Caenorhabditis elegans: one gene and its partners. The protein of the gene in region 1 purifies or fractionates together with the protein of each later gene. This does not show direct contact. Each region holds a gene or a part of one and is shown in the gene's direction. Other genes may lie near its edges.

Region 1 (3,755 bases):
GGCTGCGTTTTTTTTTTTTGGAAGAAAGCGGAAATTCGCCCTTTTTATTCGGATTTTGTTGGCTATTATGCGCGAGCTTGTTTTCTGCCGGTGTATGCAAATGCGCTCTACTGAACAATAATGGGTCTCGACGCGATGTTTGATTTTTTGAAAGTTTTTGACTAAAGGCGGCTGAAAGTCCAGAAATAACTCGAAAATACGATCAAAATTCATGAATATTGCAATTTTTCGATCAGATCAAGATTTTTTTCCGGAAATTTCCGCGGAAATGCGATTTAAATCTGCACGGGGTTCTGGGCTTCCTCATTGAATTTTCGCGCTCCATTGACAATCGCCCGCCGGACTGGGAAAGTCGTGTTCTCCACACGGACAAATTCATTTAGTTTTACAACTAAAATCGAGCCGCGACGCGACACGCAACGCACCGTAAATCTATTGAGCCAACATGGCCTAGTTTGGCAAACTCTTCCATTTCAATTTACGAGGGAAGCCAGAAATCCGTGAATCTGGCTATAATTTGGAAAAAAAGCAGTTAAACTCCTCGCTTCGAGACCTAAAAACAAAAAATCTAAAAATTCGTATTTTCTGCAATTTCGCGTCGAGTTGTGGGCGCGCAATAGAGCGCGCTTGGTGTAATTCCGCGCAATTTTCAGGTAATAGACATGTCTAAACTGCCACATCATAAACTTTTTCGGCAAATCCACTGTCTCTTTTGACCTCAATTCCACGATAGTTTCCCCCCACAAACAATTGTCCGAGACTGTTTTCCCATTGAATTGGGCCCCTGCGGAGCGAATTGTGTTTTGTTTATTTTGTAGGGGAGATTAGTTTCATAAAAGTAATATATTAATTGTTATACACATTTACCTATTCAGTCTCGAGTGGGGCGGCTTTATATTTGCACAATTTCGGGCTCTTTTTGGTGAATATTTCATAAATTCTGAAATTTGATACTTTTCGCCTTATTTATAGGCAAAAGTTGTAAGGAAAACGGCCTTTTTGGAGAAAAAAATGTTTGTGGCCGGTGTTTTCTCTTTCCGCGGCCACGGAACGCGTTTGAGTTTCAAATTTTTAGGATTTCTGGCTTCCCTCATAAATTGAAATGGGAGAGTTTTTGCCGAACTAGGCCATTTTGGATCAGTAGATTTACGGCGCGTTGCGTGTCGCGTCGCGGCTCGATTTTAGTTGTAAAACTAAATTTATTTGTCCGTGTGGAGTACACGACTTTCCCGCCCGGCAGGCGATTGTCAATGGAGCGCGAAAAATTATATAATAATATTAACGAAAATTGATAAATTTTTGAAACCGTTGTGCGCCTTTAAAAATGGAGTACTGTATATTTTTCCGAAAAAAAAAACCAATAAACTTCACAGAAATCGAATGATTTCAGACATGTACGTCTTTAAATTTTAATCGATAAGAATTTTTATAAACATGTTCGAAAAATCGAGAAACCCTCAATTTGTTTCATTAGAAACGTACATGCTTTTTTATATTTTGGGTACTGTAATTTTTAAAGTTTTAAGTCTGGAAATCAATTTTTTCACGGGTTTCTGGCTTTACTCTCATTGAATTTTTCGCGCTCCATTGACAATCTCCTGACGGACAACGCGTGGGAAAGTGTCGCGTACTCCACACGGACAAATAGATTTAGTTTTACAACTAAAATCGAGCCGCGACGCGACACGCAACGCGCCGTAAATCTACCCCAGATATGGCCGAGCCCATATGGCCTAGTTCGGCAACTCTTCCATTTCAAGCCAGAAATCCGTGTTTTTTAATTCCAATTTTGAAAAATTTAAGGAAAATCGATAAATTACAAGCATGCCCCTTTAAACTTCGGTTACTGTAGTTTTCAAAGTTTTAAGCCTGAAAATCGACTTTTTCATTTTAAATTTGAGACATTGAGGAAAAATCAATAAATTTTAATTTTAAATGTTTTATCGACGTTTCCACGTGCCACAGGGCAACCTTTTTGTCACGTGCATTTTCCGAAAATCGAAACCAAACCGTTTAGTTCAAATTTCAATCATTACCGTTTTTCTCCCTGCATAAACAACAATTTTGCACGTGGTAAGTCAATGTTCTCGTCGTCTGGGCTCTCTCTCTCTCTTCTCGCCCACTCACCACGCCCTGTCCAATAGAGCGTATTTGCAGAAAAAAGAAGCAATGGATAGTAGCACACATAGTACCGCGGATTTCGGGCGTCTCGTGTGGATTTCGGATGAAGCAGAGGGCTTTGTGGCCGCCCGTATCACAGATATCGCGGAAAACGGCTTCACATTGGCCACTGAAAAGACGTCGGAAACTGTGAATCGTCGCTATGAGGACACATGGGCCTGTGAGGAGGATCCGCAGAAGTCGGTCGAGGACAATTGCGCTCTAGTGCACTTGAATGAGGCGACACTGCTCAACAATTGTCGTTTGCGTTATGCAAATGGCAAAATCTATGTAAGTATGGAGCAAGCATGTGGAATCGAACCCCGGTCTTGTGTACAAAAGAGTAGCTCGCTAACCACTAGACCAAACGCGCACAGCTTGCCGGCCGCCTGTGGAGTGTTTATGTGCACGGCTGTGTGCGAGACACCCCGCTGGTTTTGTCAGCGTCTTTATGTAGGTCTCTCCGGCGCGTCTGTTCCGTGGCCTTGTGGCCTAATGGATAAGGCGTCTGACTTCTAATCAGAAGATTGCAGGTTCGAGCCCTGCCTGGGTCAAATCTTTTTGTTTTTTTTTTTTTTAATATTTTATTTTATTTGGCTTTTTCAGACCTACGTGGCAAACATTCTGATCTCAATCAACCCCTACCAACTGATCGATGGACTCTATTCTCCTGAAACGATTAAAGAATACCGTGGAAAATCGCTCGGTCAGATGGAGCCGCACATTTTTGCGATCGCCGACAAGGCCTATCGAGAGATGCGTCGTATCAAGACGTCCCAATCGATTATTGTGTCTGGAGAGTCTGGAGCCGGAAAGACTGAATCACAGAAAGCAGTGTTGAAGTACCTCTGTGAAAACTGGGGAACCGACGCCGGACCAATTCAGCAGAGACTTCTTGAAAGTATTATTAATTTGAACTTTTGGAAAATTCGAAATAGAGCGCGTTTGCAGTAACCGGGAATTTTTTCCCGTAGAAATGGATGGAAGGTGTCAGAGTGTCTTATTTTGGCTTGATCTACGTTGATCTACAAAAAATGCGGGAGCAGAAACGCAGACATCTCATCTGATTTCGCTTTTGGTTAAGAACGCTCTGACGTCATATATTTTTGGGCAAAAAATTCCCGCATTTTGTGTAGATCAAACCATGGATGAGACAGTCTGGCACCATAAATGTTCACTTTTTTAAACAGAAATCGATAATTTCCATAATTTATGCTGAAGCTCAAGATCTAAAATAAATTTAAAATTTTCAGCCAACCCAATCCTGGAAGCCTTTGGAAATGCCAAAACTCTGCGCAACAACAATTCGAGTCGATTCGGAAAATTTGTGCAGATTCACTTTTCTGATAATGTAAGCTTTTCCCAAGTGATGGCCATGTGGCCGTGAAAAATTTCAAAAACTCGGCCACCAACAACCACAATTTCCAGGGAACTGTCGCCGGTGGATTTGTGTCTCACTATTTGCTGGAAACATCGAGAGTCTGCCGTCAAGCTGCCGGAGAAAGAAACTACCACATTTTCTATCAATTGATTGCCGGATCGTCACCGGATTTGTACAAGAAGTTGAGATTGGCTCCGGCGAGCAGTTTTAATGT
Region 2 (3,755 bases), on another chromosome or scaffold:
CAGTGATTGGCATCAACCGCTTTGAAACCTAGAAAGTGATATGATCCCGGGTTTCCAATTCCTGGTTAAAATATTTAGTGGGCACTTTCTTAGCCACAATTATGATAAATTCTTTGGTTTCTTATTGAAACTAAGCAGTTCTAGTAAGAAACCAATGTGAAATAATAAAAACCAAAAACTTCAATTCAAATATTTCATTCAAAACATTCAAATCTCTTTTTTCCAAAATGCTCATCTTTGTCTCATCATACTCGTCGATTTAAACGTCTAAGCCGTTGCCGACATTGGAATTGTAATGGTTCCAGCTGGAGTGATGGCAGCAAACGCAGCTTGGGCATCAGTTGCATCAGCCGGAGCAGCGGCAAAGTGAACAACAAGCTTGTCTTCTTTTGGTGCTCCAGCAGTACGAGTGATTGTGATGTCCTTTGAACCAGATGGATCAACGAATCCGAATACCGGAGTGATGCGGTATTCGTTGTTGTTTGAAGACTTGATCTTGAAGATCATCTTCTCAGCTCCAGCATTAACAAGTTTGTGGGTGGAAGCACCTCCAGCAGCTGGAACAGTGCACGCTGGTGGATCGGCCGTCAGAGACATCTTTTTGAAACTTTATGTTAAAGTTGTATAAACTGAACATATTACCCTTATTTATAGCAGTCGTTATCAAGATGAACCAGTGACCTTTCGTGAACTTTTGATTTTAAATATTTTTGTAAATTTAAAAAGGTTTGTTAATATCAACTGTCTGCTCCCTTTTGAAAATATAGTTTTTTAAAAGTTATTTACGCTCTCGAGAAGACGTGGAAGAGGTTAAGGAAAAAATAAAAATATAGAAAAAAAAATATTTTTGTAAATTTAAAAAAGTTTTTTTTTCCGATGTATGTAAGGATAAAAATAAATAAGTCATTAAATATATTTTTCTATAACATGAAAAATTCACCGCTAACTGGCGTCAACTAACAATGACGTGTTTAGTTGGAATGTCAATTTCAAAGGTTCGGAATTACTTGAGTTGTGGACTAATAGACACTAAAGAATAACTTTGAGATACGCGATTTTTGCCAAAAACAGAATGTCCACCTTCGGCACGACTAATTTTGAATTTTCGAATAACTTATTTTCATATATTTCGCCTAACAAAACATTTTTGTATGTAACAGAAATGTGTCGTGTGGAGACCAGATGTATTTATGGAGCAAAACTTTGCACATGATTGTAAATAATAAATCAGTGATTTAAAAAATCAATTTTAAATCAAAATGCGGAGAAATGGGCGGTAGGCAGCCAGGTAGGCACGTGGGCCTCAAGAACATTTTGTTTTTTCTTCTCAACATATTTTTTTGTCAGATAATTTAAAATTTATTTATTACAGTTACGATTGTTTATTGTACATGCATGAAACTCCTAACAATGCTTCTAATGTTTTGCGAGTTTTGAACGATGGCTTCTCACTTATTGGAACGTATGTTTTCAGTTCATTACTCAAATGAAGTAAAGGATCATATAGCTAACTAGAAGTTCTAAATTTTACATCCTTCACTTTGTTCGGCTCCTCCGATGAGTACATCACCCTCTTTGAGCTTATGAACAGCAGGAGTCTAATATTTTCGCCACAGACTTCTGAGATTTACGATTATACACGTCCCCGGGTCCCGACACGAGTGAAACGTTTCATCAAGCCTATACTTTGCCAAAAAAAAAATTTTTTTTAATAAGAAGTATCAAAATCACGGTAAGTATCAAGAAAATCATGCAAAGTCAAAGATCAAAGAACCCTGGATTTTGAGGCAAAAATCTATACATTTTTTCCGAATTACAATTTTACTTGTTACACGTGTTTGAGTTTAAAAACAGGTAAAAAAAGAAAGCATATACATGAATAAATAGAAACGAAAAAATATTCTAAAGTTATATTTTTTAATGAACTTGCTCAGCGTGGAACCCCACTTTGGTTGGCATCCAAGCTCCGCCCACATCAATGTCTATAAATAATCAATTTTCTGGTAAATCCTTCATTCATCGATTTACTCGACTTACAACAACTAATTACAACTAACTCTTCGCAATGCAAGGACAAGGAGCCCCATGCCGCCGTTCTAGGTATGCATTTCATGAGCCCGAGTCTCAGATCTCAGGTTACCATGAATATTTCAGAAGCCGATCAAGATCTCGTGGAGCCTTCAATCGTCGCTCCAACTATGGAGAAGCTCATCCAATTCAGCCTGCCGTTTTAGCTTCAATTGTCGAAGAACCATCATCTTCAATCATGCCAGTGGTGAACCCATTGATGGTTGCAGCAAAAGAGCTCAAATTTCCCTGCCAGTTGGCTCATGGATCTCCAGTTGCAATCATTGACAAATGGAACGATATGGAGGAATTGTACCAATCAATTGCTGATTTCTTTGCAATCTCAAAAGACGATATCATTTTCCTGACGGTTAATGATTTCAAGGCAAGCTTTGATACTTTAATTCCTCTAATTCGAAATATTTTCAGCCAGACATGAAGAACATGTTCAGTGGAACACTCAACTTCAAGGATATGCTCTTTGCACACGTTCGCGGACAAGCAACTGAGCTCCGAATGGTCAAAGACGCCAACGTCTTTGGAGTGACAGTCACTGACAACGGACTCGGAAATGCATTTATCAAGGTCATAAGCCCAGGTTCGGTGTTCGATCGTATGCGTCCAGCAACACAAGTTGGTCAACTCATTGAGGCGATTAATGGAGAGTCTGTGCTCGGTAAAAGACATTACCAAGTTGCTCGTATGTTGAAAAGTATTCGTCGCGGCGAGGAATGTATCATTCGATTGATTGCTCCAAAGAGTGCGGATCCAGGAACTATGAAGATGACTAGGAAAACTGGCGGAGATTTAGCAAAAGGAACCATTCGTTTCAAATCGGAAGGTGGATTTGCTGTTGAAGATATTCAAGATCAGATGATCCAGGCTGAGATGTGCGGGAAACTCAACGAACTGTTCGACCAATATTTGGGAGTTCAAGATGATCAATTGGCCATGAGAATATGGGAAACTGCCTCAAACTGCGAGACACTTTGGCAACTCAGTGAAGCCATCAAACAGTCGGAGCTCTCAATGTTCGAGTTCCCGGATGGATTGGTATTCGACATGTGGGGAATTATTGGTGATTTGAAACGCGAACAACGTGAGAAAAAGCCAATGCCAGTCATGAAGAATGCTATTTCAAGACCATCGGCTATGAAACTCTTTGACTAACTTGTATTGTCAAATAAATTATTTTTCTTGTCCTAGCTGAATTTAATTGTTTCTAAATCAATTTACTATATATAAAGCGCGTGTCGTTCCGTCACTATGTAGTTTGATCTCTGATCATTTTGGGAAACCTTATGCTAAATACGCAGCAGACATCGATCGAGGTCCGCGATAGACACCGTACATCTAATGTGCTTTCTCAAAAAAGTCGAGGGCCGCGCCGTAGGTGCTAGATTTCAACTTGCAATTGTATTCTCTCCAACAAGAATCGGCATTCTAGAGGTTTCCAATGATTTTATTTTGATGAAACGCTACAGTACTCCTTTTATACAATTGACCAGCCGCTGACCGCGCCTCCGGCGCGGCCAACGACTGGCGAAATTTGAAATGTTTGACACATCCCTGAATTCATTAGGTTTTTCTATAAAAAAAAGTAAGCAGAATTTGTTTCCCTGCTGCATGTGTTTAAGTTTTTTCGAATATGCTGAAAGATTAAATTTTGAAAACCATCACACCACAAC
Region 3 (3,755 bases), on another chromosome or scaffold:
AAGTTGTATAAATTGAACAAATCAATCGTATTTATAGCAACTCTTATCAAGATGTACCAGTGACCTCACGTGAACTTTCGAGTTTAAACATTTTCGAAAATTTTGAAAAGGTTTTTTGGTGTTATGAATAAAATATAAAAAATTTATAGAAAAAATTCATTTCCACAATGACGTGTTCAGTTGGAATGATTGGTCAATTTTCAAGGTTTGGAATAGTTTGTGTTAATGGGCATTATGTTGGGGTATTTCAAGGCTTAACATTTAGATAGCCAGCGTATGTCATGATGTATTGTGTAGGCATAAAATGCCTGCTTGATTTCCTACAAGAAAACCTAGATCTATTGTGTACCAACCCGCAAAAGCTCTCTTTTGTAGTAGGCGAAAGGTAGGCATGTGTGCCTTGAGACAAAGCTGTTGCTTTCTTCTCAGGATTTGTTCCATATTCTTAAGAATTAGAAGCTTTTGTGAGAAAATTTAAAGAGTGTAAACTTCTATCAAACTTCTCTTTTTTCAGTTACGCAATATGCAGCCCAAACTTATGGATGATTGTTGCTTGTACATGCATGACACTCCTTACAATGCTTATGACGTTATATATGAATTGCGGGTTTCGAAGGAATGTACGATGGCTGAAGTTCACTGAGTGGAAGGTTTGTGTTCATTAGATCAGATTGTTAGTGCAGGTTCAACGTATCTTCCTTTTCGGGCCCTGCCTAAATATTTCATCCGACCGAGGCGTAATGATCATTGATGATCACGTAATCGCCATCCTCTTGCAATAGGCGCCTTCCGGTCGAGAGGGGTGAGCGTGAATTGTGAAGCTCACTTCTATTCATATTTCAGCTCCAGCAACTCGCCGAACGTCTCCGCATTCAAGAGCCAAATGTAGGTCTTCTTATGCAAGTAACCAGAAAAGTGAATGATAAGAAGAACAGTGATAAGAAAGAATTCGACTTTTTCAACAATCGAGATCAAAATAACAATATCGCAGGAGCATTGAATGAAGTGGCAAGTAAGACAAGTAATGGCTCAATGGGATCAACGGATGTAGTTGCTGCTCAAATCAGAAAGGCGAGAGATGAAGACGTAGAGAAAGTGTTGCGGGAGAGTAATATGGATATTCTTACTCCTGATGTGTATGTTTTAAGTTTGAATTTTCTGAAAATGATTATATTTTCAGCCAACCCACTCAACCAAGCACTGGAGGATCTCAGAAAATTCTGAAAAAGTGGACAGGAGCAACAATAGATCTCTTCTCGAAAGATGAGGATGAGAATGAAGGGAAAGGAAAAAAGGAAAGAAAAAATAAAATTGATCGAACTCAAGAGGATTGATTTTTAATAAAGATTTTTCATTAAAAAATTCCCATTGGGTTTCAATATAAGAATTTCCTGCACCATAGTTATGGCCCAGGAGCCAGCCAGAAGTATAGTCACAAAGCGTATTATCAGGTCTATCAGTATTCATAGAGAGTATTCATACTTCTGGTTTTTTTTGTCGCTACTTGGGCTGATATTTCAGTTTCACAAGATACATTCCCAACCATCACTATTCAAAAGTCGACGGGGCTCCTGCTCGGAAAAGTTTGACAAAAGAAACCCAGGATAAAAAGAACTGCTTCAAATAAATGATTTCAAATAGTTAAAATCACAAAAAACTAGATATCAATTTTAAATCGCTCGGCTCCTCCGATGAGCACATAATCCTTTTTGAGCTCATGAAGAGTCCGCAGCCAATATTTTTAGGGCAAGTCTTACGGGTACGGTAGTTGAACAATTAACTCGTGTTAAGATCTGGAAATTGCCTCGATATTGAGCAAAAATCGAGAGAATTGTTTGCGATTTACTTTAGTTATACGTGTTACAGTTTTAAAACAAAATGAAGAAAAACACGAAAATTAATAAAATTCGAAAGTTATATTTTTAATGAACTTCCTCAGCGTGGCACTCTAATTTGGTTGGCATCTAAGCTCCGCCCACATCAATGCCTATAAAAGATCAGTTTCTTGATAAAATGATTCATTCATCGATTTAACACCAACTCACTTCAACTAGTACAACTACTAACATTCTCCACAATGCAAGGACAAGGATCACCATTCTGCCGTTCTAGGTATGTATTACATGAGCCCGAGTCTTATGTCTCAAGTTACCATGAATATTTTAGAACCCGCTCGAGATCTCGTGGAGCTTTCAATCGTAGCTCCAACCACGGTTCAGTGCTTCCAATTCAGCCTGCCGTATTGGATTCAATTGCCGAGGAATCATCGTCTACTATCATGACAGTAGTCAATCCTTTGATGGTGGCAGCAAGACAGCTCAAATTTGCTTGCCAGATGGCTCATGGAAGTCCAGTTGGAATCATCGACAAATGGAACAATATGGAGGAATTGTATCAATCAATTGCCGATTGCTTTACAATTTCAAAAGATGATATCATTTTCCTGACAGTCAATGATTTTAAGGTTAGTTTTGACATAAATAAGTCAAATTCTTATTCTAAATATTTCAGCCAGACATGAAGAACATGTTCACTGGAACACTGAACTTCAAGGATATGCTCTTCGCCCACATTCGCGGACAAGCAACCGAGCTCCGAGTCGTCAAAGATGCTAAAAACTTTGGAGTGACAATCACGGACAACGGACTCGGGAATGCATTTATCAAGGTCATAAGCCCAGATTCGGTGTTTGATCGTATGCGTCCAGCCACTCAAGTTGGTCAACTCATTGAGGCGGTCAATGGAGAATGTGTGCTCGGGAAAAGGCATTACCAAGTTGCCCGAATTTTGAAAAATGTTCGTCGCGGCGAGGAATGCGTGGTTCGATTGATTGCTCCAAAGACTGCTGATCCAGGAACCATGAAGACGACTGGAAAAACTGGCGGAGGTCTGGCAAAAGGAACCATTCGTTTCAAATCGGAAGGCGGATTTGCTGTTGAGGATGTTCAAGATCAGATGATCCAAGCTGAGATGTGCGGAAAGCTCAATGAGATATTCGACCAATACTTGGGAGTTCAAGATGATCAGCTGGCCATGAGAATCTGGGAAACTGCTTCAAACTGCGAGACGCTTTTGCAACTCAGTGAAGCCATCAAAGAGTCGGAGCTCTCAATGTTCGATTTCCCGGATGGAATGGTTTTCGATATGTGGGGAATCATCGGTGATTTGAAGCGGGAGCAACGTGAGAAGAAGCCATCCCCAGTCATGAAGAATGCGATTTCAAGACCATCGGCTATGAAACTCTTTGAGTAACTTTTACTGTGGAATAAATTATTTTAATCTCCGAACTGTCTTAAATTGGTTTAAAGTATATCCCACTAACTTTTCAAATTTATTCGATTCACAAGACTTGAAAAACACTCTTTCCGCTGCTTAGTTCGATTGTTTCATTCAGCACATCTTATTCTCCAACAGGCATCCGCATTTCATAAGCCTCTAGAAAATCATAGCATTCATCGATTCCCAGTTTAAATGCTGTTTAAATGAAGCTTCAAATTTATTTTATTTTTCTTTTGTCAAAATGTTTATTTTAAAACAGCGTTTTGTCAAAAGTATGTATTCAATTTTATGCTTTCCCATTGGTTTCTCATTGGAGCTCTCGAGCTCCAAATGTCCGTTACACCATGTCCACCTGCAACCTAGTTAGAAGCGAAAGATAAAATCTGCATAAACTTCAAACGTTTTGTATTAATTTGTAAGATTTTAACGCTTATTTACATAAATACAGTTTATTTTTTTCGAGATCATAAGATTTA

The links.
Region 2: the proteins of spe-15 (region 1) and gipc-2 purify together in Caenorhabditis elegans (affinity purification with western blotting, with the first as the bait; one study listed by BioGRID). This does not show direct contact.
Region 3: the proteins of spe-15 (region 1) and gipc-1 purify together in Caenorhabditis elegans (affinity purification with western blotting, with the first as the bait; one study listed by BioGRID). This does not show direct contact.

Annotation. Positions count from the first base shown.
Region 1 is NC_003279.8:1,444,497-1,448,251, forward strand, and holds the start of spe-15 (Myosin motor domain-containing protein), read left to right. Parts: upstream 1-2,000; 5' UTR 2,001-2,073; intron 2,074-2,157; 5' UTR 2,158-2,169; coding exon 2,170-2,451; intron 2,452-2,638; exon of another isoform or gene 2,639-2,738; intron 2,739-2,766; coding exon 2,767-3,061; intron 3,062-3,413; coding exon 3,414-3,511; intron 3,512-3,588; coding exon 3,589-3,753; intron 3,754-3,755.
Region 2 is NC_003282.8:10,025,925-10,029,679, reverse strand, and holds gipc-2 (PDZ domain-containing protein), read left to right. Parts: upstream 1-2,013; 5' UTR 2,014-2,065; coding exon 2,066-2,100; intron 2,101-2,154; coding exon 2,155-2,452; intron 2,453-2,496; coding exon 2,497-3,237; 3' UTR 3,238-3,267; downstream 3,268-3,755. Other genes in the region: msd-2 (MSP domain-containing protein), read right to left, coding at 268-597.
Region 3 is NC_003281.10:4,868,763-4,872,517, forward strand, and holds gipc-1 (PDZ domain-containing protein), read left to right. Parts: upstream 1-2,015; 5' UTR 2,016-2,077; coding exon 2,078-2,112; intron 2,113-2,166; coding exon 2,167-2,464; intron 2,465-2,511; coding exon 2,512-3,252; 3' UTR 3,253-3,499; downstream 3,500-3,755. Other genes in the region: C35D10.3 (uncharacterized protein), read left to right, coding at 168-205, 515-650, 844-1,136, 1,181-1,334.